Linked DNA regions of Caenorhabditis elegans. The protein of the gene in region 4 interacts with the protein of the main gene of each other region in a pairwise test. Each region holds a gene or a part of one and is shown on either strand. Other genes may lie near its edges. The genes, in order: png-1, reps-1, ubxn-4 and ubql-1.

What was found.
Region 1: the proteins of ubql-1 (region 4) and png-1 interact in a two-hybrid assay, tested with the Caenorhabditis elegans proteins (one large-scale study listed by BioGRID).
Region 2: the proteins of ubql-1 (region 4) and reps-1 interact in a two-hybrid assay, tested with the Caenorhabditis elegans proteins (one large-scale study listed by BioGRID).
Region 3: the proteins of ubql-1 (region 4) and ubxn-4 interact in a two-hybrid assay, tested with the Caenorhabditis elegans proteins (one large-scale study listed by BioGRID).

What each region holds. Positions count from the first base shown.
Region 1 is NC_003279.8:11,378,539-11,383,236, reverse strand, and holds the start of png-1 (Peptide-N(4)-(N-acetyl-beta-glucosaminyl)asparagine amidase), read right to left. Parts: upstream 3,007-4,698; 5' UTR 3,000-3,006; coding exon 2,949-2,999; intron 2,727-2,948; coding exon 2,582-2,726; intron 1,993-2,581; coding exon 1,672-1,992; intron 1,616-1,671; exon of another isoform or gene 1,545-1,615; intron 311-1,544; coding exon 88-310; intron 1-87. Other genes in the region: wbp-4 (U1-type domain-containing protein), read right to left, coding at 3,172-3,237, 3,775-4,106. UniProt on the Caenorhabditis elegans protein: Specifically deglycosylates the denatured form of N-linked glycoproteins in the cytoplasm and assists their proteasome-mediated degradation. Cleaves the beta-aspartyl-glucosamine (GlcNAc) of the glycan and the amide side chain of Asn, converting Asn to Asp.
Region 2 is NC_003283.11:18,985,473-18,992,338, forward strand, and holds reps-1 (REPS (RalBP1-associated Eps domain-containing protein) homolog), read right to left. Parts: upstream 5,029-6,866; 5' UTR 4,897-5,028; coding exon 4,791-4,896; intron 3,858-4,790; coding exon 3,442-3,857; intron 3,342-3,441; coding exon 3,230-3,341; intron 2,361-3,229; coding exon 2,142-2,360; intron 2,015-2,141; coding exon 1,956-2,014; intron 1,513-1,955; coding exon 1,192-1,512; 3' UTR 502-1,191; downstream 1-501. Other genes in the region: mrps-35 (Small ribosomal subunit protein mS35 mitochondrial conserved domain-containing protein), read left to right, coding at 1-143; Y39B6A.37 (Structural protein), read left to right, coding at 5,386-5,933.
Region 3 is NC_003281.10:8,403,181-8,407,046, forward strand, and holds ubxn-4 (UBX domain-containing protein 4), read right to left. Parts: upstream 2,243-3,866; 5' UTR 2,242-2,242; coding exon 2,031-2,241; intron 1,978-2,030; coding exon 1,452-1,977; intron 1,408-1,451; coding exon 1,300-1,407; intron 1,255-1,299; coding exon 780-1,254; intron 734-779; coding exon 644-733; 3' UTR 538-643; downstream 1-537. Other genes in the region: cutc-1 (Copper homeostasis protein cutC homolog), read right to left, coding at 111-427; cyy-1 (Cyclin-Y), read left to right, coding at 2,828-2,926, 3,186-3,270, 3,318-3,392, 3,442-3,558, 3,604-3,746, 3,801-3,866.
Region 4 is NC_003279.8:7,020,438-7,028,006, forward strand, and holds the start of ubql-1 (Ubiquilin), read left to right. Parts: upstream 1-1,544; coding exon 1,545-1,637; intron 1,638-1,759; coding exon 1,760-1,865; intron 1,866-1,910; coding exon 1,911-2,218; intron 2,219-2,326; coding exon 2,327-2,455; intron 2,456-3,019; coding exon 3,020-3,263; intron 3,264-3,589; coding exon 3,590-3,729; intron 3,730-3,774; coding exon 3,775-3,858; intron 3,859-3,904; coding exon 3,905-4,017; intron 4,018-4,064; coding exon 4,065-4,130; intron 4,131-4,174; coding exon 4,175-4,235; coding exon of another isoform or gene 4,236-4,256; exon of another isoform or gene 4,257-4,286; intron 4,287-7,569. Other genes in the region: pdi-3 (Protein disulfide-isomerase), read right to left, coding at 120-350. UniProt on the Caenorhabditis elegans protein: May play a role in the ER-associated protein degradation pathway (ERAD) possibly via its interaction with ER-localized proteins ubxn-4 and cdc-48.1 and/or cdc48.2, providing a link between the polyubiquitinated ERAD substrates and the proteasome.

The DNA.
Region 1 (4,698 bases), 4.4 Mb from region 4:
ATAGGGAATTTCATGGGCTATCCTATGGATCGCCTAACTTTCGCAAATTTGCAATTTTTTTAGGCCACATTTTTCTAGGCTTCACACCTCGTCTGCAACAATTTCGCCGGATTATTATATCTCGGGAATCGCATTTCCGTATTACATCCATCACAAATGTAAACTTCAACACGTGAGGCTCCGCCCTCTTTTTGCTCTTCCCGAGTTGGAGTCCCTTGGAGCCCGTCGGTTGAGCATTTTAGGGTGCATTTGGGACATGTTGGACGGTCGAACCAAGTGAAAAATTGAGTTTTAAACCAGTGGAGAAGGTCTGAAAAATTGAAAAATTAGTTAAAACCCGCGCGAAAATTGAGTTTTTAAAGTCATGGCCTAACTTTTCAATTGGTGGCCTAGAAATCCAAAACTAGGCTATAAAGTGAATATATCAAATTATAGGCTTACTAGGCTTTCGCTGACATCAGATCATTTTTCAGAATTGAAAAATGTGAATTTTCCGCCGAGTTACGGCGATTTTAAGTTGGTGGCCGAGGATTTTCCTAGGCCACTAGTTTAAAAACATGTTAAATTGTCTTAAAATTTTTATTTTTGTATGGCGCAGAATTAGATTTGACATAAAGTATTGGAATTTACTGTAAAATAAGCGAAAATTTACGTCTTAAACTGATGGCCTAACTTTTTATTTGGTGGCCTAGAAATCCAAAACTAGGCCACGCACTCAATATATCAAATTATCGGCTTTTGTTGATATCAAATAACTTTTCAGAATTCAAAAATTCCAATTTTCAGCCGAGTTACTGTAAATTTAAGTTGGTGGCCTAGGAAACTCCTCGGCCACCAACTTAAAATCAACGTAACTTGATGGAAAATCGATATTTTCAAATGAAACATAATCCAAATGATGGGTGTTATCGAAGTTCGATGAAAATTTGGCGAAAAATCGACTTTTTATATTCGTGGCCTAACTTTTTCCGGCGGTGGCCTAGAAATCTAAACCGAGGAAACACTGAATGTATCAAATTTGTATGTTTGATTGACTCGTGCTGATGTCAAATCACTTTTCAGAATTGAAAAAAGTGAATTTTCCGCCAAGTTACGGTGAATTAAGGTTGGTGGCCTAGGAGTTTCCTAGGCCACCAACCAAAAAACGCTGTAACTCGGTGGAAAATCGATATTCTTAAATGAAATAAAATCAAACTGGTACAGGAAGTACAGGAATTCCGCAAAAAATCGACTTTTCAATGTTATGGCCTAACTTTTTCTGGCGGTGGCCTAGAAACCCAAACCTAGGCCATGTACTGAAAGTATTAATTTTATCTTTCCTTTCTTCTTTTTCAACTCGTGCTGATATCACAAAATTATTCAGAATTCAAAAATTCCAATTTTTCGCCGAGTCACGGTGAATTGAAGTTGGTGGCCTAGGAAAATCCTCGGCCACGAACTTAAAAACGCTGTAACTTCGCGGAAAATTGATATTTTCAAATGGACTAAAAACCAAAAGCCATCCGATAGGAAATTTCGAAGTCTATCTGAAGTTTGAGGTAGTGTGGCCTAGGTTTGGATTTCTAGGCCACAAACTAAAAATCGGCTATAACTCGGCTGAAAATCAACATTTTCGCGATCCGAAAAAACCAATCGATAGGGAATTCGATTTTCTCGATTTTCTTCTTGCACCTTTCAAAATCGCCTTCTCATCCCTCGGCCCCTCGGTCATGGCTCTTCCCACCAGCTCCTCAGGCATAACACTTCTCGCCAGAGCCTTGAACACCTCATCCTGATAGCTTCTCGGTACGTTCGAACATTTGACAAATTGCTCCAAAAATCGCTTTTCCGAGTCAGAAGCCGCGTTGGGATTTGCCGGAGTTGGCGAATAGTGTTGCCGAATTTTTTCGGCAATTGCCTGCTGATTGGCTCCGCGGACCATGTCGACTTGCTGGCGATTTTTCAAAAAAATGAATGTCGGCATTGCGGAGATGTTGTACCGCTGGACAATGTCTGAAAAAACGCAAAAATCGATTGGTGGCCTAGTTTTTCAGTTGGTGGCCTAGAAAAAACTAGGCCACCGATTTATCAGACTAAAGAGTTGAGTTTTTAATTTCCTATCGATTACTTTTTGTTGCATTCAAAAATATTGATTTTCCGGCGATTTATGGCGGTTTTAAGTTGGTGGCCTAGAAACCTTCTAGGATTTTTCTAGGCCACCAATATAAAATAGCTGTAACTTGACGAAAAATCAATATTTTTGAATTTTCAAAGAAAAGTATTCGAGCATTAGCAAATTTTTTAAAGCTTTTAGAAAACATACAAAAACGCCTTCAAAAAAATTTTCGTGGTGGGACCCAGAAATTTTTCCGAATTTTTTTTAATTTCAAAATCGTCCAAACCTAGGCATGATGGGTGTCAACTGAAAGGTCTCGGCGAGCTGAACACGAACATTATAAATTTAGGGCCTAGTTTTCAACTTGGCGGCCTAGAAATTGGAAAAACGAGGCCACCACCAACTTAAAATCGTCGTAACTCGCGGCGGAAAATCGACATTTTTGAATCCGAAAAAACAAGATTTCGTGGCGGGACCCATTTTTACCTCTTGCCACGTCACAATTGACCTTTAAAAACGTGGCATTTCCGTATTCCGCGGAAAATTGCTCGAAAATCGGAGAAATCATACGGCACGGGCCACACCAATTAGCGAAAAAATCGATAATTATGAGACGATTCGCATCGGAACGCTGGAAATTGGAAATTAAAAAAATTAAAAATTAAAAATTTTTTTGCAGAATTTTATTGATTTTTTTTCAGAATTTTTTCGATTTTTTTTCAGAAATTTATCGATATTTTTTCAAAACTTTATTGATTTTTTTACAGAATTTTCATCGATTTTTTTCTAAAATTTTATTGACTTTTTAAAATAAAATTTTATTGATTTTTTCAAAGAAAAATGTCCTGCTCACCTCCAAAATATTATTGAGCTCTGGCAGTGAGCCAACTTCCGTTACCGGCATTTTTCGACTGAAAAATAAATTTTTAGCCAATTTTTTGCGCTAAAAACTTGAAAAAGGTATAATTGACATATTTACAAGTGACCAAATAAACTTTAAAAAAAAAGTTTTCTCGAAAAATCAATAATGTATTCAGATATTACAGGGAATAAGTGACAAGAAAAAAAAAATTAAATTATTCCTCTCGTTTTCGAATATTCCGATTTGCTGTCTTTTTCTTGAATTCGATCGGTCCTTTTACCTGAAAAAAGGGAATTTTTTTAGTGAGAAAAAAATCTAATGAAAAATCGTCGAATTATTACTTTTCCAGCGGGAAAAATATTGTTTTTTCGTGATTTTCCAAAAAAAATTTTTTCAGAATTTTATCGATTTTTTTGCCTAGAATTTTATTAATTCAAAAAACATAATTTTGTCGATTTTTCAGTAAATTATCAATTTTTTTCGGGAAAATATCGATTTTTCTGATAATTTTAACGATTTTTTTAGTAAAAAAATTTTCTTTTTCAACTAAAAAAAGTTTTAAAGGAAATTTTATTCGTTTCCAAAATGAAAATTTTAAATTTTTAAATTTTTCCGGCTCAAAAAAACCAATTTTCAGTGATTTTCAACCTTATGAAGCTCAAAAAGCTTTTCAGCTCCAAATTTTCAAGGAGAAGCTCAATTTCAGACGTTTCTTCATGGTATTTTCAAGCTTTTCCGTCTTAAAAAAAGCCTATTTTTATCGTTTTCCAAGAAGCTTTTTAGCTCCAAATTTCGAGGAGATGCTCAATTTCAGCACCTTTTTCGTCATAACACTGGCAGTTTTTTCTCCAAATTCAAATTTCGGTTCTTCTTGTCTCTTTTTCTCTTCTTCCTCCTTCCGTTCTTCTTCTTCTTCACGGAATCGTGCAGTTAGTGGAGATTCGAATATTTCCGTCGTTTTTTCACTTTTTTCGACACGTTGCCATGCTCCAAATGGTGCTCCAGGTGTTGTTGGAATTGATGGTTTTGGGGGCTCAATGAGCCCAATTTCTGGGATTTTTGGGGGCTCTTCAAGCTGCTCTTGGAGCTCCTCGGGAGGCGGAGTTGATGAGTGCTCGCGGAGCACCAGGGCTTCACGTTCTGGTGTTCCTGGAACAATTGAATTTTTTAAAGAATTTTATCGATTTTTAAAAGAATTTTTATCCAAAAAAATACAACTTTTGCCGAAAATTTCACGGTTTTTATGGGATTTTTGCGTGTTTTTTTCTAATTTTTTCGCATTTTCAGTCCGTAATTCGTAGGTTTTTTTTTGGTAATTTTCCAGCCAAAATTCAGCGTTTTATAGCGATTTTTTTGTAGAATTTCTGTCTAAAATATGCAATTTCCAGCCAAATTTCGGCGTTTTTCATCAAATTTTCATGATTTCTCGGGTTTTTTTCAGTCATTATTCGAGCTTTTCTTGTAGAATTTGAATTTTATCGATTTTTCCAAAATGTTTTCACATTTTCTGCCCAAAATTCAGCGTTTTAAAGCGATTTTTTGGTGAAATTTCAACCAAAAATGTGCAATTTTAAGCCAAAATTCAATTTCATCGAAGTTTTGCAATTTTTAGGGCTTTTTCATCGATTTTTCATCGATTTTTGGTCTTTTTCAAATTTTTATTGGTTTTTTTTTTTGAAATTCTACCGATTTTTGCAGAATTTTCACCTCAAAAATATGATTTTCGGCCAAAATTCGCCGA
Region 2 (6,866 bases), on a different chromosome or scaffold from region 4:
CCAGCGCCGCCGGATGTGGAGATCAAAAATCGATTGACGAATTCGGAGAAATGTGGAAAGCCTATAGAAATAGCGAGGAAACTGTCGAAAAAACGCGGGAATACGGTCGTCAGATGAAGAAATTACTCGGAATTCAACAATAATTTACTGTTTTTTTTTAGTTCTGCTAAGATTATTATACATTCGTCACGAATGTGTAATAATTTTTTTTCTCGAAAATTTTTTGTTTTTTTTTTGTTATTCTAGCAGTTTTTATAATAGATCCCTCAAATTCTGTCAAAATTTGGAATTTTTTCCAAATTTTTAGCCGGATCTGTAATAATTTTTTTGTCCGAATTTTTTAGATAGTTCCCATCTTTCATGTTATTTCATTTTTTTTTGGAAAAATTTATATATATATATTTTCCAATTTTAAAAAATAGTTATTTTTAATGTGTGTAAAAATCAATACATACTTTATGATTTTTTTTTTCAAAAAAAAAAAAGAAGATAGTGTAATAGATTAAATTATCACAGAAAATAGAAAAATTGATGCTTATTTTAAAAAATTACAACATAGGTAAAAATGAAATATATATATGACATATCACAGAAATTATGAAGAAATATGCAGATTTTTTAGTTTTTTGCGGGGAATCTGGGGGAGAAATTGGTGGGAAATTCGAATTTTTGATAGAAAATAATTAAAAACTTTTTTAGAAGTTAAATTTAATTTCGGGAAATACCTTTTTCTCAGAAATTTTTGAAAATTTGCTCTAAAATGGGCAAATTTCATGTTTTTTAATGCGAAAAACCAGAAAAATCAATAAATTTTCCATAGAAATCGATAAATTTTCAGAAAAATCGATAAATTTTCAGAAAAATCAATAAATTTTCAGAAAAATCGATAAATTTTCAGAAAAATCAATAAATTTTCAGAAAAATCAATAAATTTTCAGAAAAAATAATTTTCCATAGAAATTGATACATTTCGAATTTTTTTGTTATTTTCCTAACCAAACGTAATAAATCTTTAAAAATTCTATTTTTCCAGCTAAAAATTGAGTTTTTTCCAAAAAAAAAATTTTTTCCGGAAAATTCGAAATAAAATGTGTTATTTCCTAGTTTTTCAAGCCGAAAAAAATTATTTTTTTCCTATTTTTCCTCAAAAATTCGAATTTCCCATCCATTTTTCCTCCACCGGGGATATCATTAAAGTGTAGAAGAAGAGCACGCAGTTTTGGATCTCTCTTCAAATTCCTGAATTCGTATTTCCAATTGAATCCGTACTTGAGCCAACCGTGCTCTTTCGGCTTCTAATTCCGAATTTTGAGTCCTCAAAGCTGTACAACGTTCCTTCCATCGTTCAATTCCTTGCCCATCAGTTGCCTGAATCTCTTCTCCAATTAAATCGTCGATTTGATGGCCGATTTTCGAGAAAAAGCTCTTCACATCTTCCTCAGAATAGAGTAATTCTGTAGTTTGTGTTGATGAATCTGTTGTGGTAATTCGTTTTTCCTCTTCGATGACTCTCTGCAAAAATATTGTGAATTTTTGGAGATTTTTCAGTGAAAAATTTGAAAAATTTGAAGAAAAATGGTTAAAAATGAGTATTTTTGAATTTTGGCGCTGCTAAAACTACAAACTACAAGTAAATTTTTAGCAGCCCGCCCAAGAAATTAGCAGCGCCCAAGAAATTAGCAGCGCCCAAGAAATTAGCAGCGCCCAAAAAAATAGCAGCGCCCAAAAATTAGCAGCGCCCAAAAAAATAGCAGCGCACAAAAAAATAGCCAAAAATTGTTTAAAAATCATATTTTTGTGATTTTCAACCTGTTCAGAAAATAAAAACTACACTAATTTTCGATTTTATCGCAATTTTGAAAAGTTTTTCTTAAAAATTCGTTAAAACGAATAATTTCAAACTTTGGGCGCTGCTAAGACTACAAACTACAACTAAAAGCTTTCCCTTAACTTACCGGTAGAGGTGACGGTGTGATTCTTTGTGGAATCGGCGGTGGAATACTGTCCGGGGTGGCTGAAAATTTGCGGAAATTGGGAATATTTTGATTTTTTCTCGAAAATTGAAAGCAATATATTTTTTGAAAAATTCCAGTTTTTTTAAAATTTTTTTCGAATTTCTGCCCAATTTTTCAGTCTCATACCAGGAAAAGACGCAAAAGTAGTCGTAGTCGTTGTAGTACTAATCGATTGAGCTGTCGGATCGGAATGTGATGACCAAAGTGATAGGGTAGTTGGTGGTAGCTGGGATTCCGCCGAGGCTTTTGTCTTATTCAATGCAATCAATTTCAAGTCAAGACTTGCACTTCTGTTGTGTCCACGTTGTTGTTGTTGTGGGCGGACAGGTGGAATTGGTGGGGGTCCTGAAAATATGGATTATTGATTTCGGGCGCTGCTCTTAGATTGCAAATACTACTAAATATTGAGTGTTGCGTGTTTTAATGAACTTACTTAATACTTAATACTTATTAATACTTATTTAGGTAATTAAATAACTAAGTTACTAACTACATACTTACGTAGTTAGTAATTTAATTACTAAGTTACTAATTAAGTACTTATTTAGATGATGATTAAATAAGAAAATTAGTAGTTAAAAACTCACTCTGTTACTAATTAAATACCCACTTAGTTAGTAATTAAATACTCACTTAGTAGCAATTTAATACTTCCTTAGTTACAAATTAAATAACTACGTTACTGATTAAATACTCACTTTGTTACTAATTAACACTAACAGGGTTAGTAATTAAATACTTACTTAGTTATTTAATTACTAACTAAGTCACTAATTAAATACTTCCTGAGTTATAAATTAAATAACTATGTTACTAATTAAATACTCACTAAGTTAGTAATTAAATTCGTATTGAGTTAGTAATTTCATAACTAAGTTTCTAATTAACTACTTACCAAGTTATATAATTAGCAACTCAGTAAGTATTTTAATTACTAACTAAGTCACGAATTAAAAACGTACTTAAATAGTTATTAATTAAATAATTAGTTACTTAGTCAGTATATAAATAACTATGTTACTGATTAGAAAACTAGGTTTTCTAAAACATTTGAATCGAAAACTATTGTAGTTTTTGTAGTATGACTGCTATTCAACTAGCAATTTTTCGAATAAATTATTATTAGTCAATAATTTAAACTTTTTATATTGTGTTCACACATTTGAGAAGTATAATAAACACTACAACAATTTCTTCAATGAATCCAAACTTACCCAGTGGACTCTTAAGTGCTAACAATGCAGAATGCTTGATAGCTGTTGGCCTACTGTCCACTAATAATGGCGGTGTATCCGAGAATTGTTTGATGATTGGCTGGTTTGCCCACTGGAATTGGAAAAATTCGAAATTAAAAAAAAAACGTCGTTAATGTTTTGAATGATGATACATATTCAAAAGTCAATTAAATTATTTCAAAAACCCCCACATTTTTCACTGGCCCATCAGCTTCTACATGTCCTGCACCGGCGGGACTAGGCGTCGCCGCAACTGTAGACGGAGCCCGTGGCTCTGTAAGTGGTGGCCGCGCGAAACCGGGTAGCACATCAGGAATCGGAACTTCTCCTTTCACTTTCAACACTACTAAATGCATCGCAATCGAGAATTCGTTTAAATCCAACCATCCGTCTTCATTCACATCGGCCAGCGACCAGATTTTCGATAAAGAGCTCATATCCAGCGAGCTTCTCTTGAAAAACGCTACAATTCGTTGATCGGCTCCGCAAAGGGCTCCGCAGAGGTCTGCGGCGCCTTGAGTGGTTTTTATTAAGTGACGGAAGCATTTTGTGTAGTATTCCTGCTGTTTTTCAGTGATTTTGAAGAGAGAATCCGCGTTGGAATCGGCTGAAAATTGGGGAAATTTGGATTTTTTCGAGTTTTTTAGCTTTAAAACCGAAATAATTTCGATTTTTGCAATTTTCCCTGAGAAAATGTGCTTAAAAATAGAAAAAATCGATTTTGGCGCCGCTAAACGGAAAAGCAGCGTCCAAAATTGTGTAGTTTGTAGCTTTAGCAGCGCCCAAAATTGTGTAGTTTGTAGCTTTAGCAGCGCCCAAAATCTTGTAGTTTGTAGTTTAGCAGCGCCCAAAATTGAATTAGCAGCGCCCAAACTTGTAGTTTGTAGTTTAGCAGCGCCCAAAATTGTGTAGTTTGTAGTTTAGCAGCGCCCAAAATTGTGTAGTTTGTAGTTTAGCAGCGCCCAAAATTGTGTAGTTTGTAGTTTAGCAGCGCCCAAAATTGTGTAGTTTGTAGTTTAGCAGCGACCAATATCTTGTAGTTTGTAGTTTAGCAGCGCCCAAAATTGTGTAGTTTGTAGCTTTAGCAGCGCCCAAAATTGTGTAGTTTGTAGTTTAGCAGCGCCCAAAATCTTGTAGTTTGTAGTTTAGCAGCGCCCAAAATTGTGTAGTTTGTAGTTTAGCAGCGACCAATATCTTGTAGTTTGTAGTTTAGCAGCGCCCAAAATTGAATTAGCAGCGCCTAAAATTGTGTAGTTTGTAGTCTAAGCAGCGCCCAAAAAATTCACTCAAAAACCTTCAAAAGTGGTTTTTTTAAATTAGTTTCATCTGTTTTATAGCGGAAATCTCTTCAAAAATGCGAAAAAATTTGAGAAAAATCGAAAAAGGTTATATTTTCATTAAAACTACTCATTTTTGAGGATAATTTTGCACTTTTTCCTAATTTTTCTGGATTTTTCACCGTTTTTCAGCTTAATTTCCACGTTTTTGCATCAAATTTGCCGATTTCGAGCTGAAATTCTTTATTTTTCAAAATAATCACCTGGACTCGTGTGCTTCAGACGTCTCGGACTACTAATAATATCGGCAGCGACTTTTTCAAAGTCTCCATTCGAAAAATATTGCGATTTTTTGTCGTTTTCTGTCATGGAAATTGATTTTTTCGCGGAAAAGCAAATAAAATAGTTGGTGCACGAGAAATGCGCCAGCGCACTGGAGATGCGCAAAGGGGGTTGACTGGCGCGATTCTCGTGCCGGCAAATTTATTTTTTCGTTTTGAAACGATGTTTCAGCTGAAAAACTCAATTTTCACAGATTTTTTGGGTAAAAATCAGTTTTTTAAAGCAAAAATTAATTAAAAAAGCGTTAAAATCTCCTATTCATACACCTAAAACGCTGAAAAATATCCATTTCCTAGTTGTATAATTTGTTTTTCAGTTTTAAAGTGGTTTTTCATGGATTTCGGGGTTTTTACGGGTGAAAACTATCAAATATCGGCAAGATTCAACCGATTTTCGAGCTAAATCTGAAATTTTTGCGAAAAATAATGAAATTCAGCCGGAAAATCGTATTTTTAAGGTTTTTTTTGCCCCAAAATTCGATTTTAACAGCATAACAATTATTTTTTCCAGGTTCTGATGCCCCAATCGTCCGAAATCCCGCAGATTCCTGAAAAAGCCCGAAATCTCACAAAAAGAGAGCTGAAAACGCTGAAAAATGCGCTCGGGAAGCAAGGATTAACGATGGAACAGCACGAAAATGCTCAAAAATCCACAAAACCCTGCGAAATCCTTCAAATCGACACTTTTTCGATTGATAATTCGAATTTAGAAGACGGCTGGTACGTTGGATATGGCGTCGAGTACAATGGCGTCGGAATTTCGGCCGCCGGGGGGGCTCCAGACAGCTCGGCGAGCAGTGAATCCGGTGATCTACCGCCGGCTGAAAATCGAGAAGCCGGCGGCGGGGAAAGCAGCGGATTCGATTCGGATCCACCGACTGATGATGATGATGATGAAGCACCGCAAGAGCTGCTGGAACGGCGAGAAAGTGATGATATTAGTGATAAAGGACAGCTTTTGTATGGATTGGACAGTGAATTTTATGTTGATAAGGCGCTGAAACCCACAAATGTCGAATTTCACGATAAAAATGACACGAAAAGCTTCAAAACTGGCGAATTTGTGTAAGTTTCGAGGAATTGAGCCCCACGTGGAAACTACAAACTACAAGTTTTGGGCGCTGCTCAAGCGATTTCCGCTGAAAAATCATAAAAATTCCCAAATTTTAACGAATTAAACAGAAAATTCCGTCGAAAAATGCGAAAAAACCGGCAATTTTGGTTAATTTTGAGCGAAAATGTGATTTTGGGCGCTGCTAAACTACAAACTACAAGTTTTGGGCGCTGCTAATTCAATTTTGGGCGCTGCTTAGAATACAAACTACAAGTTTTGGGCGCTGCTTAGACTACAAACTACAAGTTTTGGGCGCTGCTAACACTACAAACTACAAATTTTGGGCGCTGCTTAGACTACAAACTACAAGTTTTGGGCGCTGCTAATTCAATTTTGGGCGCTGCTTAGACTACAAACTACAAGTTTTGGGCGCTGCTAAACTACAAACTACAACTTTTGGGCGCTGCTAATTCAATTTTACGCGCTGCTAAACTACAAACTACAAGTTTTGGGCGCTGCTAACACTACAAACTACAACTTTTGGGCGCTGCTAATTCAATTTTGGGCGCTGCTAAACTACAAACTACAACTTTTGGGCGCTGCTAATTCAATTTTACGCGCTGCTAAACTACAAACTACAAGTTTTGGGCGCTGCTAACACTACAAACTACAACTTTTGGGCGCTGCTAATTCAATTTTGGGCGCTGCTAAACTACAAACTACAACTTTTGGGCGCTGCTAATTCAATTTTGGGCGCTGCTTAGACTACAAACTACAAGTTTTGGGCGCTGCTTAGACTACAAATTACAAGTTTTGGGCGCTGCTAACACTACAAACTACAAATTTTGGGCGCTGCTAAACTACAAACTACAACTTTTGGGCGCTGCTTAGACTACAAACTACAAGTTTTGGGCGCTGCTAATTCAATTTTGGGCGCTGCTTAG
Region 3 (3,866 bases), on a different chromosome or scaffold from region 4:
AAAATTCGAAATGAAACAAGAATATGTTTTTCTTTTTTCATTTAAACATGTTGGAAATAAAATTATAATATATTTATTTGTTTCATTCAATTTAAAACTCTCCGACTTACGATGTTAATGCTCCAAAAACGAATCCTGTGGCACCAGCTTTTTTGAGCCATTCAACGTCTTCCATATTCGCTGCCATTTCGTCTTCATTATACACAAAATCGCCTGCCCGTTGGCGAATCATACAATAAAGTGGAATATCGGGATACTTGTAGCTCAGAATAGACACAAATCCGACGGATGGAGTGAGCCCTCCGAGTTGTAAAGCTGAGCAAACTTCCAATCGATCAGCTCCACCGGCAACAGCATTTTCCGCAGATTCCAGATTATCGATGCATATTTCCAGTTTTATTTGCTTCTGGGATTCTGTTTCTGTCATCTTAACACAATAGAGTTTGAGAAAATATGTTTTTAACATTGTAAAGAATAGGTATAAAGTTATGGTTTAAAATCCGAAAACTCAGCAAGAAAACTGAACATATCTGGGATAAATGAAAACTTTTATTCGATTCGAATTATAAACGAGCAAAAAATAAATTATCCATGGCGATGAACTTTTGGTGTTGGAATCACAGGCGACAAGAAATTTACATTATTACATGAACTGAGTAGAATTTCCATTGAAACTGGCTCGCTCTTCAGGATCGTCTTCATTCGGATTTTCAAGCCCTGCGACGTTTCCACGCTGAAAATAATTTCATTATGGAAAGAAAATAACAATGCACACAAACCCGACGAACTTCCGCACTCCTTGGCATCCCGCGTCTTTGTGGTTGTGATCCTGATTGACCCGATGTAGATGGCCCATCGTTTTTCTTAGATTTCGAGTCTTGTTGTTTTCCGGTAGAATTCCAGCCAATCATACCACAGAAAATATTCCAAAAAGCAGTGAGTGGGTATAAAACCCATGTTACAAAGGATACGGTTTGAGTACTGAGCGAGAAAGATCCATAATTTGAAGAGGAACCCGACGATTTTTGAATTACGACAAGTGCGGTAGAGGGTGTTAATTGATTCTCGAGGAATGTTTTCGAATAGTCATCATTTGTAAATATGCGGCGTGGATACGGTTGCTGAATTTCAAAAGTAGTTCCAGCAATAGAGGGCTTTTGACGAATGATCTCTACGAGAGAATTGAGAACATCATTTGAAGGAAATTCTTCTACAAAAGTAGAACCATCAGGAAGTCGAACTTGTAGACGACACCTACAATAAATTCATAAATTATCAGTTATCAATTAATTTTCTAACCTGTCTGATGGCACAGCCTTTCCAACAGTGGTTTCTTGTTTCTTTTCAGTATTCTCCGAAGCGTTTTCAGTGTTCACAAGTTTCCCGAACTTTTTCTGAGCAGCTTCGCTGAAAAATATTTATATTTTAGAAACACTAAATTAAAATCTTACCGATCAGCTTTAATTTGGGCCAAAATTCGTTTCTTATCACTTTCGGCTGCCAATTTTTCCATCTTCCTCTGTTTCGCTGCTTTGACCAACGCTTCAGCATCTCTTTCCTGTTTTGCTTCGCGTGCTTTTGTCATTTCTTCCTTTACATGTTTGTCGGCCTCTCGCTTCTTTTCAGCATCTTTTTGCTTTTTTTGCTCTAGAAGAGCTTTAGCTCTTGCTACCTTCTCTGCAAGTTCACGAGTCATTTCCTGAGAAGTTGATGAAGATTGAATTGGTGCTGTAACAGGTGTTGGGGCTGGGATTGGGGCATCCGTTGACGCTGGTACTTGGACAGGGGCGGGAGAAGGACTAGGTGTTGAAAGTTGATTTGCAGCTGCTGTTGGCATCCCATTGACGAATTGAGCAGTAGCTTTATCAAATTTGGCTCGGAACTGGTCATATGTTTTTCCAACGAGCGGAGTGATGACTTCCAAAGGTTTTCCATTTTGATCGATTAGATATGCTGCTGGCAGAATTGGTGTAGGATCTAAAAAGATAACATTTTGGCTGAACTGCTATAATTTAAACATTCCAACTTACAAATATCAGCAAACTGCTGGGCAGAAGTTTCACCAGCTTTCAGTTTTATTCCCACTACTGCGCATAAAAGATTTGACGAATCGATATGTTGCCAAAACCCATCGAAAATCTGGCCATCTTCCGAATCCGTGGTGATATATACAATGAGAAGAGCTTTGTTCTTACGGGAAATTTGAATCGCAGTCGCTACGTTGCCACCAAACCACTGCATTCTGTAAATTTTAATATAACTTATCGATTCATGTGAAAAGATACGATTTTCAGAAATCGAAGAGTAAACATTTAGTTATTGAGATAAAATAACCTAAAATTTTCTACAGAAAGCGTTCTTAATTGATTTATTCCAGCAAAATAAATAAAAAAGTGGCTAAAAAATTTATAAAAATAAAAAGACGTCGAATAATTCGTGGAGAGAAGAAACCGTGCGGGGGTTGCATTCCGACTCCGCCTCCTGCCATAAACTCCGCCCACCACCGCTCTCTGCGATTTTTACATTGAAGAAATGGATTTTTCTCTGTTTTTCTTCGCTTTTCTCATAGAAAATATTTGTTTTATATTTAATTTGCAAACAATTTATCAATTAACAATTGAATAAACATTACTAGACAGATTTTTTCTTGTGCTCCGTTCCCCACACTTTATCGATTTTCCATTAATTTGCAGGACTCGCTTCCCAAGTTTCTAGTCACTCCTAATGCGATAATTTTGGTTTTTGGAGATTAAACGTGTTCCGTAAGTTGAAATTAGTAACATTGTCTTTGAAACTTTGAATTTAAACCAATAATTGTTTACAGGTGATGGGAAATTCATCGTGTTGTCTGCGAACGAGGTCGTCGAGCGGAGAGGACAAATCGTATAATAATGATGGACAGTATATTAGAACTAATCAAGTGGAGGTATACAAAGTTATTTTTTGAAAAAGTTTGCATAAATGGAAACTTTGATATCGATTGTTGGAATAATTGTTTTTAATTTAAAAAAAAACTATAAAGCTCTGAAAATATACATTTCGAAGAGAATAATATTTTTTATTTACACAAATTTGGTTTAAAGGGCTTTAATAAGCTTCACGAGTACAAGATTATTTAAAATTATATTTTAAAGGTAAAAATATTCGAAAACCTCTTTCTACAAAAACCTAAATTTAAAATTCAGTTCCAGTATGTCAATCAAGTGTTCCCTCGTGATGAAACATCGACAAACTTCCTTCCTCACATAAGTGAACGAGAGGTAACAGAAGGTAATTATATCACTGAAGTATATATTTTTAAATTCATATTTTTTAAGGATACGAGGAAGATCCATCAACGAATCCAACAGCTCGGCCAACATTTATGGAACGAAGTAAAAGTGAAATGAAATGTAAAATTCTTTTTCTTCTAATCCTTGAATCTATTCTTATCAATTCCAGTAAAAGACAATCGTCGTTCATGTTATATGTTGGATGCATTGGCAGCTGGTGGTCATCATCCCGGAATTTTACCCAGAAGCCTGCGTAAATCAAGCAGCTGCAGTACTATTTATATTGGTAATTAAAGATTTCATAAACATTCTCTGATTTCTCAAATTTTAGATGATTCAACAGTCAGTCAACCTCATCTTAAGAATACAATAAAATGCATTTCTCTTGCAATATATTATCATATTTCAAATCGTAAAAATCGTGGACACGAGCGACTAATGGAGATTTTCGAAGAACGACTTCATCCGATTTTCGTAAGTTTTATCAATCAATCCATAAGTTCCATACATTTTTCGAAGATTTTTCAGAGAGATCCTATACCTCCAGAGCAAATGACACGGGATCCTGATCATCGGAATATTTATCGGTTTGTC
Region 4 (7,569 bases):
TTCATATATTTCTATTCAATGTGGCTTTCGTTGCTGTTTTATCAGCTTTCGCGTATTTGTCAGTGTCACTGCGATCGATATATGAGCGATGGCTGTGTAAATAAGTATGGTTATCTTACCTTGACGAGAGCGACTGGTGGATCGTTAGATGCGAGTTTTGGGGCAGCTCTCTCATACTCTGGGGCAATTTTCTTGCAGTGTCCGCACCAGGGAGCGTAGAACTTGACAAGAGCAATGTCGTGGGTTTGGATGAGATCATCGAAGTTTCCGTCGGTATACTCGAGAACGGCTCCTCCAGCACTGGCGAACGCCAGGAAGGAGGCGACCAAAGCTGCCTGGACCCAAATCATTACCTAAAAACTTTACCTATAAACGACAATCGATCGAGTGAGTTTAGAGGGCGAGAGATTATCGGGAACACCGACAAAAAGTTAAAAACTAAGAAACAAGATTAGAGGTTTTCAGATTATTCAGAAATATTTTCTAGAAATTGAGCGAACGATTGAAGAGAAGGGAAGGTGTTTTCGCAATTAACAAACCGCGATCGCATCGAAAACGTGAGCCGCTTGACGCGAAACGTGTTTTCGTGGCGAGATACCGCGAGCGGTAAAATCAATGCGCCTTTACTTTATTTATTTTTTTTTCGCATTTATTTTCATTCTTTTCTGTGAATCACATGTGAATGGACAAATACAGATTGTTTCGGGTTCAATTTTAAGTATTTACAAACACTTTTCAAAAATTATCTTTAATAAGTGGAAAATACAGTTAGTAAATAACTATAAATTTTAAGCTTAGAAGAAGAAAGCCAAAAAACATGTGTTGTATGGAGGAGAAATTTTATATAGACTCGGGGAGCGTTATATCACTTTTAATGATATTATTACTAATAATCCAGAAAATGCAGAGCAGAAGCATAAAAATAGACCCGAATTGTTAAGGTCCACGTGGCGCTCGTGTGTACACCAGGGATTGGTAGGAACTGAGCCAAAAACACGTCGTTCACTGCCTGTCGCACGCGTGTTGTGTGCCGATTGGCCTCATTCTTGTGAGAACTCCGCCCAATGGGTCTCGCACGGAAGAGGCGACCATCATGTGTCGATTTACGCAACTACCGCATCATTTTATTGATCATTGTTTTTTATTCATTTTATGACCTGATATAGAAGGAATCGACGTTAAATTGGAAGGCAAATTGATTGGAGCGCCATTTAGAACTTTAATTTCTTATTTTTATTGTAAATTTGAATCGATAAAAGGAACAAAAAGATCACCATGGAAACCAAATTAGTCATCACGTGCATATTGAAGCTCGCGCGTCAGGAAGAATTGTGTCTTCGTTTATCTTCGTTTATTTTCTATCGAAGAGACCCATTACATTATTACATTATTCGGTCTGAAATAGTTGCGAAATTTCTTTTTGCGCTTCGAGAATATTCTCGATTTATCGATGCAACGTGTTCTTTTCCGTCTCCGCCTCTCATTCTCTCAATCCTTTTTCTTTATTTAATTTTGTCGGTTTTTTAATATTTCTCAAATTTAAGATGGCTACAGAGAGTGCACTCATCAAAGTTCACGTGAAATCACCGTCGAACAAGTATGACGTTGAGATTGCTGCGGATGCATCAGTTTCAGAAGTATGTTATATTTTATTTAAAAAATAAAATTTTGCTCTTGAGAATTAGATAAAAATTCAAGTGATTATTCCATTTTGATAAATTAAATGTGTAAATCACAGTGTTTAATTAATATTTTACAGCTAAAAGACAAGGTTCTTGTGTTCGTTCCAACTGCGAACAAAGAACAAGTTTGTATAATTTACACCGGAAAAATTCTGAAGGATGAAGAAACTCTCACACAGCACAGTAAGTTGAAAAATGTGTTCCAAAAAATAATAAACAAAAATTTAGAAATCGCTGATGGTCACACCGTCCACTTGGTTATTAGAAATCAAGCCCGTCCAACACCAGCGCCGGCTGCTGCAACACCAACAGCTTCATCTGCACCAAGTTCCAATCCAACACCTTCTTCACAACCGAATCCTACCAATAATCCATTTGCAGCAATGGGAGGAATGGGATCACCTGCTGATATTTTAAACAATCCAGATGCTATGCGTTCAGTTATGGATAATCCAATTACACAACAACTTCTAGGAAATCCAGAGTTTATGAGAACAATTATTCAATCCAACCCACAATTCCAAGCATTGATTGAGGTTCGAGTTTTTCCTGGATATTTGTTTTGTAAATTTTCGGATTCGAAAAATTATTTAATTTTTTAATCTTCCACATTTCTCTCGTATATCGACAATAAATATTTTCAGAGAAATCCAGAAGTTGGACACATTCTCAACGATCCGAATGTAATGCGTCAAACTATGGAGATGATTCGTAATCCAAATATGTTCCAAGAAATGATGCGGAATCATGATCAAGCTATTAGGAATCTTCAGGTACATTATATATAGCTATGCTGATCAAGGGATGCCATTTTTCAATTTTTCAATGTTTTCAGCGAAAATCGAAACATCGAAGAAAAAAAGTCCAGAAAATTATCAATAAAATTTGATTTTTATCAAGTTGTGTGACACACAACTTGTGTCATATATGTTGGTGACAAAAAACATACGAAGACATTTTAATGTTATCTAACAATTGTCTAAAAAAAAGAAAAATTACCAAAATTTAATACCATTTTTTAAAAATTGAAAAAGTCGGTTTTTTCTCTCTAAAATCGAAAAACGAAAAATTCTGATTTTTCAGTTTTAGTTTTAAAAAATCGATCAAGGATGCCGATCTAAATGTCTAAATATGACTATTAAAAGTAATTAATTGTTATTTTAATTGATATGGCAAAAAATTGCTAATTTTTTTTTAATATCAGGGGTACATTTCTGGAAACTATATATTCCATCCCAGCCGCGCTACAGGGGTTTTTGTCTTGAATTCCAATTTCAACAGATTTTCCTTTTTTTCGGTTGGATTTGTTATTTTATGTTGAAACATTCAATTTTCAGGGAATTCCCGGAGGAGAAGCTGCTCTTGAACGGTTGTACAATGATGTACAGGAGCCCTTGCTCAATAGTGCAACAAATTCGCTCAGTGGAAATCCATTTGCTTCTCTAAGAGGTGATCAGAGCAGTGAGCCACGTGTCGATCGTGCTGGACAAGAAAATAATGAAGCTCTGCCAAATCCATGGGCTTCAAACGCCAATCAAGCTACCAATAATCAATCGAATAATCGTTCTGCTGACTTTAATTGTAAGTTTTTCTGAGTCAAATTTCTCTAAGTAAAAAAAAATCTTACATTAAAATCATATAATAATCAATGACGAGTGGCAAATGCCAAATATCAATTTGCCGAAAAAATTAAAAAATTGTAAATGTGAAAAAAGATTTTCAGCAATGTATTTTTGAACATTTTCCTTAAAAAATTTCCAACAAAAATTTCAAAACGACAAATTTCCAATTCGCCCAATTTTACGTCTGCCGCCCACCATTTATTATAATTTTAAACAAAATATTTAAACGTCACGAATATCCTCATAGTTTAGTGATCCGTTAATAATGTTTTAATTCATATTCAGCATTGCTTGATTCACCTGGCATCAGCTCCCTAATGGAGCAGATGATGTCCAATCCAAGTATGCAGGCCAGTATGTTCAGCCCAGAAGTCATCAATTCAATTCGTCAAAATATGTCAAACAATCCTGGACTCATTGATTCCGTTAGTTTCATTTTTAAAAAATTTAAAATAATTATGTAAGTTCAGATTGTTGGACAAATTCCATCGGCTCGTGATAACCCACAGATTTCCGAAGGAATTCGTAGAAGTTTTCCACAAATGCTCAACATGGTTTATTTTCTAAATTTTTACAAAAATTTATATTTCAAAATTTCAGATGTCTGATCCATCTGTGATGGAGGCAATGAGAAACCCACGGGTCAGTGAAGCATTCCGTCAAATTCAAGAGGGATTTTCAACTCTTCGCAGAGAAGCACCTCAACTTTTGAAGTATTTGAAAATACCATTTAGTCAAAAACTATTTAAAATTATTTTAGCCTTTTCCAAGCTGGAGCAATGGGAGGTGGAGCATTCGGTTCTGATGCCAATGCATCTTCTGCTGGGTTCGTTGATAGTTTTTATAGCTGATAGTTTTTTCTCATTTCAGAGCAAACTCTGCAAACGGACTTGCCGATTTATTCAATTCAATGAATATGGGAGGAGGAAGAGTGAGTATATTGAATATTTGATTTCTTATGTCACTTCTTATGGGAGCAGAGGTGATTATTTTCAAGTTCGGCCTTCTCGAATTGTCTAGAAAAAAAAATATTCAGAGTGAAATAACGAGATAATAAGATTTTATGAACTGAAAAAGAGAAAATTTCTATTTAAAAAGCTAAAAAAAAAGCATTACTACTGTAGAAATCAGTTTTTCTTATTTTTTATTCATTGCAAAATTTGAAAACTCGACAATAGCCTATTTTTGGATTGTGAATTTATCGAAGTGGTAAAATTTTTTTAATCGGCAATTGCCAAAACTTTCTATTGTCTGTATGATAGTTATTGAAACATCATGGGTTCAAAGAACTTTTTCAGCTAATTGAACTATTTTAAGCTTTCCTTTCTAATTCAATCGACAGATCGATTTAGAATAATATCACCGAATCCAATAATTTCCCATAGTATAGTTTTTTTTATACTTCCCTCTCGATTCCGTGGTCTTTTGAATTTTCCAAATTGAAATGAAAATTTGGATGATTAGTTGAAGCCTCACATCAAATGAAGTTCCCCCTTCATTTCATATATCAAAGTTTTTGCTCAAATTTAGAAGCTGATGAGTTGCGCCGAGTCGCCGTTTGCTCTGTGACAGCGACGGAAGTGCGCGAGCAAGAAAGAAGAAGTCATCGTGTGTCTGTTCTGAATAATGTAACAAGACGATGCTCCGTCTTCTGCTTCTTCTGTGCCGTCGTCGCTGAGCAGAAGCAAAAGTCGGCTCGTTTGACATGCTATGGATAAATGTTAGATAATGAGTATAAAGTGACGAAGACGATGGCAAACTGATGACAGCGTGCACGATCGAAAATCTTTTCCTGTTTGCTCAGAAAATGCAATTATCATATCGAATTTCATTTAGACCCCGGTGGCGTATCTAAAATTGTTTCGAAATTCTGATGTCTCGGCCCTTTCTACAGACAGAATATACTCTTAGAAAAGAGAAGTGTGGGAGATTTATCATGAGTTCCCCCAGTGAAAGAGGAAGGCCCCTCATTTCCTTGTCTTTTAATTTTTGATGATTGTTAGACGAAACAATTTGAATTGGAAACAAAAGCAATAATTTCTGCATTTTTCGTTTTCATCACTTGACATAGGAAGTGTGAAAGGCGGGCATCTTATCCATACGAATAGATCAGATTTTTTAATTTTCGTCGACGTTGCACTACTGGACCGAATGCTCTCGCATCACACAACACATTGTTGGCACATACATGTTATATGTCATTTTACATTTTCGATTAATTTTGTTCAATACCAAAACGTGGATGAGTGTGTGTATGTATGTGCATTGCCCACATAAAATGATATTAGTAGGCGCACATAAAAACGTTGATCGACAAAGGCTCGTCTCTTCACATAAATATTACACATTTCACAGCAAAAAAAACTATGTTCAATAATCAGATCTTTTTTGGGATGAGAGGGCAACACAAAAGCTGAAAGGAAACTTTCTTATCACAGAACCTTCAATTTTAGTAGATGTGATCTTCACTACATTAGGGGTTATTTGTACGCACAATGCCAAATTTTCGGAAAGTTGAGCTTTTTGTAAAGTTTAGAGCATTATTCCATGTTCGACACCCTAAAATGTTTTAATACAAAAAATTAAATTATAATACTTGAATAATTGCCTATTTTCGGTCGAATTCCAAAATTAAAATAGGTGGTATCTAGGTAGTTGCCAATTTCGACTGCAAATTAGGAAACTTGATTTTTCGAGAAGTTTTACTACGATATCTGATCTATATTTCTTTTTTCTTCGGCCCCTTTAATAAGCAAATCAGTGTTGCTCTTTTTGCTTCCCGCAATTGTTAGGAGCACATGTTTTGTGGCATATTTAGGATGCGCGACGACGTATTTGCACACACACACACACACACATTCCACGGATCGGATGTCACTATAATCTCATCTTGTAAGCGGTTACGCTGCTATCAAATTTATCCCGTATGTTTCAAGCAATTGGCCACAACATTTGTTCTCCCCCTTTTTGTTATAACTGCTGCTGCAGCTTTTGTCTCATTAGATGATTGTTTTGACGACATTTGCATAGATCATAGTAAACGATGTGTCTCCAGGAATATTGTGTAATGGAATAGTGCGCGAGGTTGGTGCGCATGATGAGAGCAGATAGGAAAAAGGACGGCGACGTTCCCCTTTTATTCATTCAACAATTGTCTAATCGGCGATTGTGTGGAACACGCGCCGTGCCATACACGTATTTCATTTCATAAAGAGGCAGCTGGCGAACATCTTCCGGTCTTCTCGTTTCCCGCCTTTTTTGTTAAGATGAGCCGATGCAAATGATATTCGAAGTGATTAGTAGTGGAGTCTATTAGGAGCCGACGTCCGAAACGATGGGATGATCTGTTCAGTGGCAAAACACTTAGTGTCTTTTGAATAGGCATTCGATTGGTTTTCTTGTTCTTACAATAGACAGATGGCTGGTTGCATGGGAAACAGTTCTTTCGAACACCTGTATCAAACCTGTGATATAGTTATTTTATAGTAGAACATCGCTTCTCTTGCTCAGATCATATTGAAACCTTGATTTTTGCATTAAGGATAAACAATAAATTCAAATATCTAAAATTGTTTCTCCTTTAAAGTAGTTCCCTTAAAATTACGATAGCTAAATCCGAAACATAGTCCAATCATTTCTTCTCATTAATTAGTATGTTGATGGAATTGTAGGGACATGTGTAGAGAGTGGAGGACACGTTGTATCACTTAATGCATGTTGTCGAACTCGTCAAAGTATGGTGTAATGCATAAATCGAATGAACGGAAAGATGCGGTAGTGCTGGTCACAATAGGAAGAAGAACAAGAGGGGTCCCATGCAAAAACACATATGACGCGTCGATTCGTCCAACTGCTCCTCTTCCTGTCTCTGTTATTATTGAGAACAACACACTCATAGATATAAATGCACAGATACTCGTTGTTCGCGCACTCATTTGTTTCGAAACATGACAAGCAAAATGCGTTTTTAGAAGATAAACATCGTAGCACTGACTCGTAATATGTAATGAACAATTAAGAAGCAGCTCTACGCATGCTATGTGCATTTCCCTCATGTTTTCAAAATTGCCTATTCTCAGAGGAAATGTTAATTTGTGTCTGTGTGGGTATGTATGTGCATCATTTCAATCAAGTGCTCCGCTCTCCTATAGACCATATTTTTTGTTTCTTGGGAATAGATTTTGGAATGATTGCCTTCCAAATACAAAGATGGATGGATTTGGAATTGAGCCTCTAGCACAACAATAATTGAGTTTTCAAAGTTT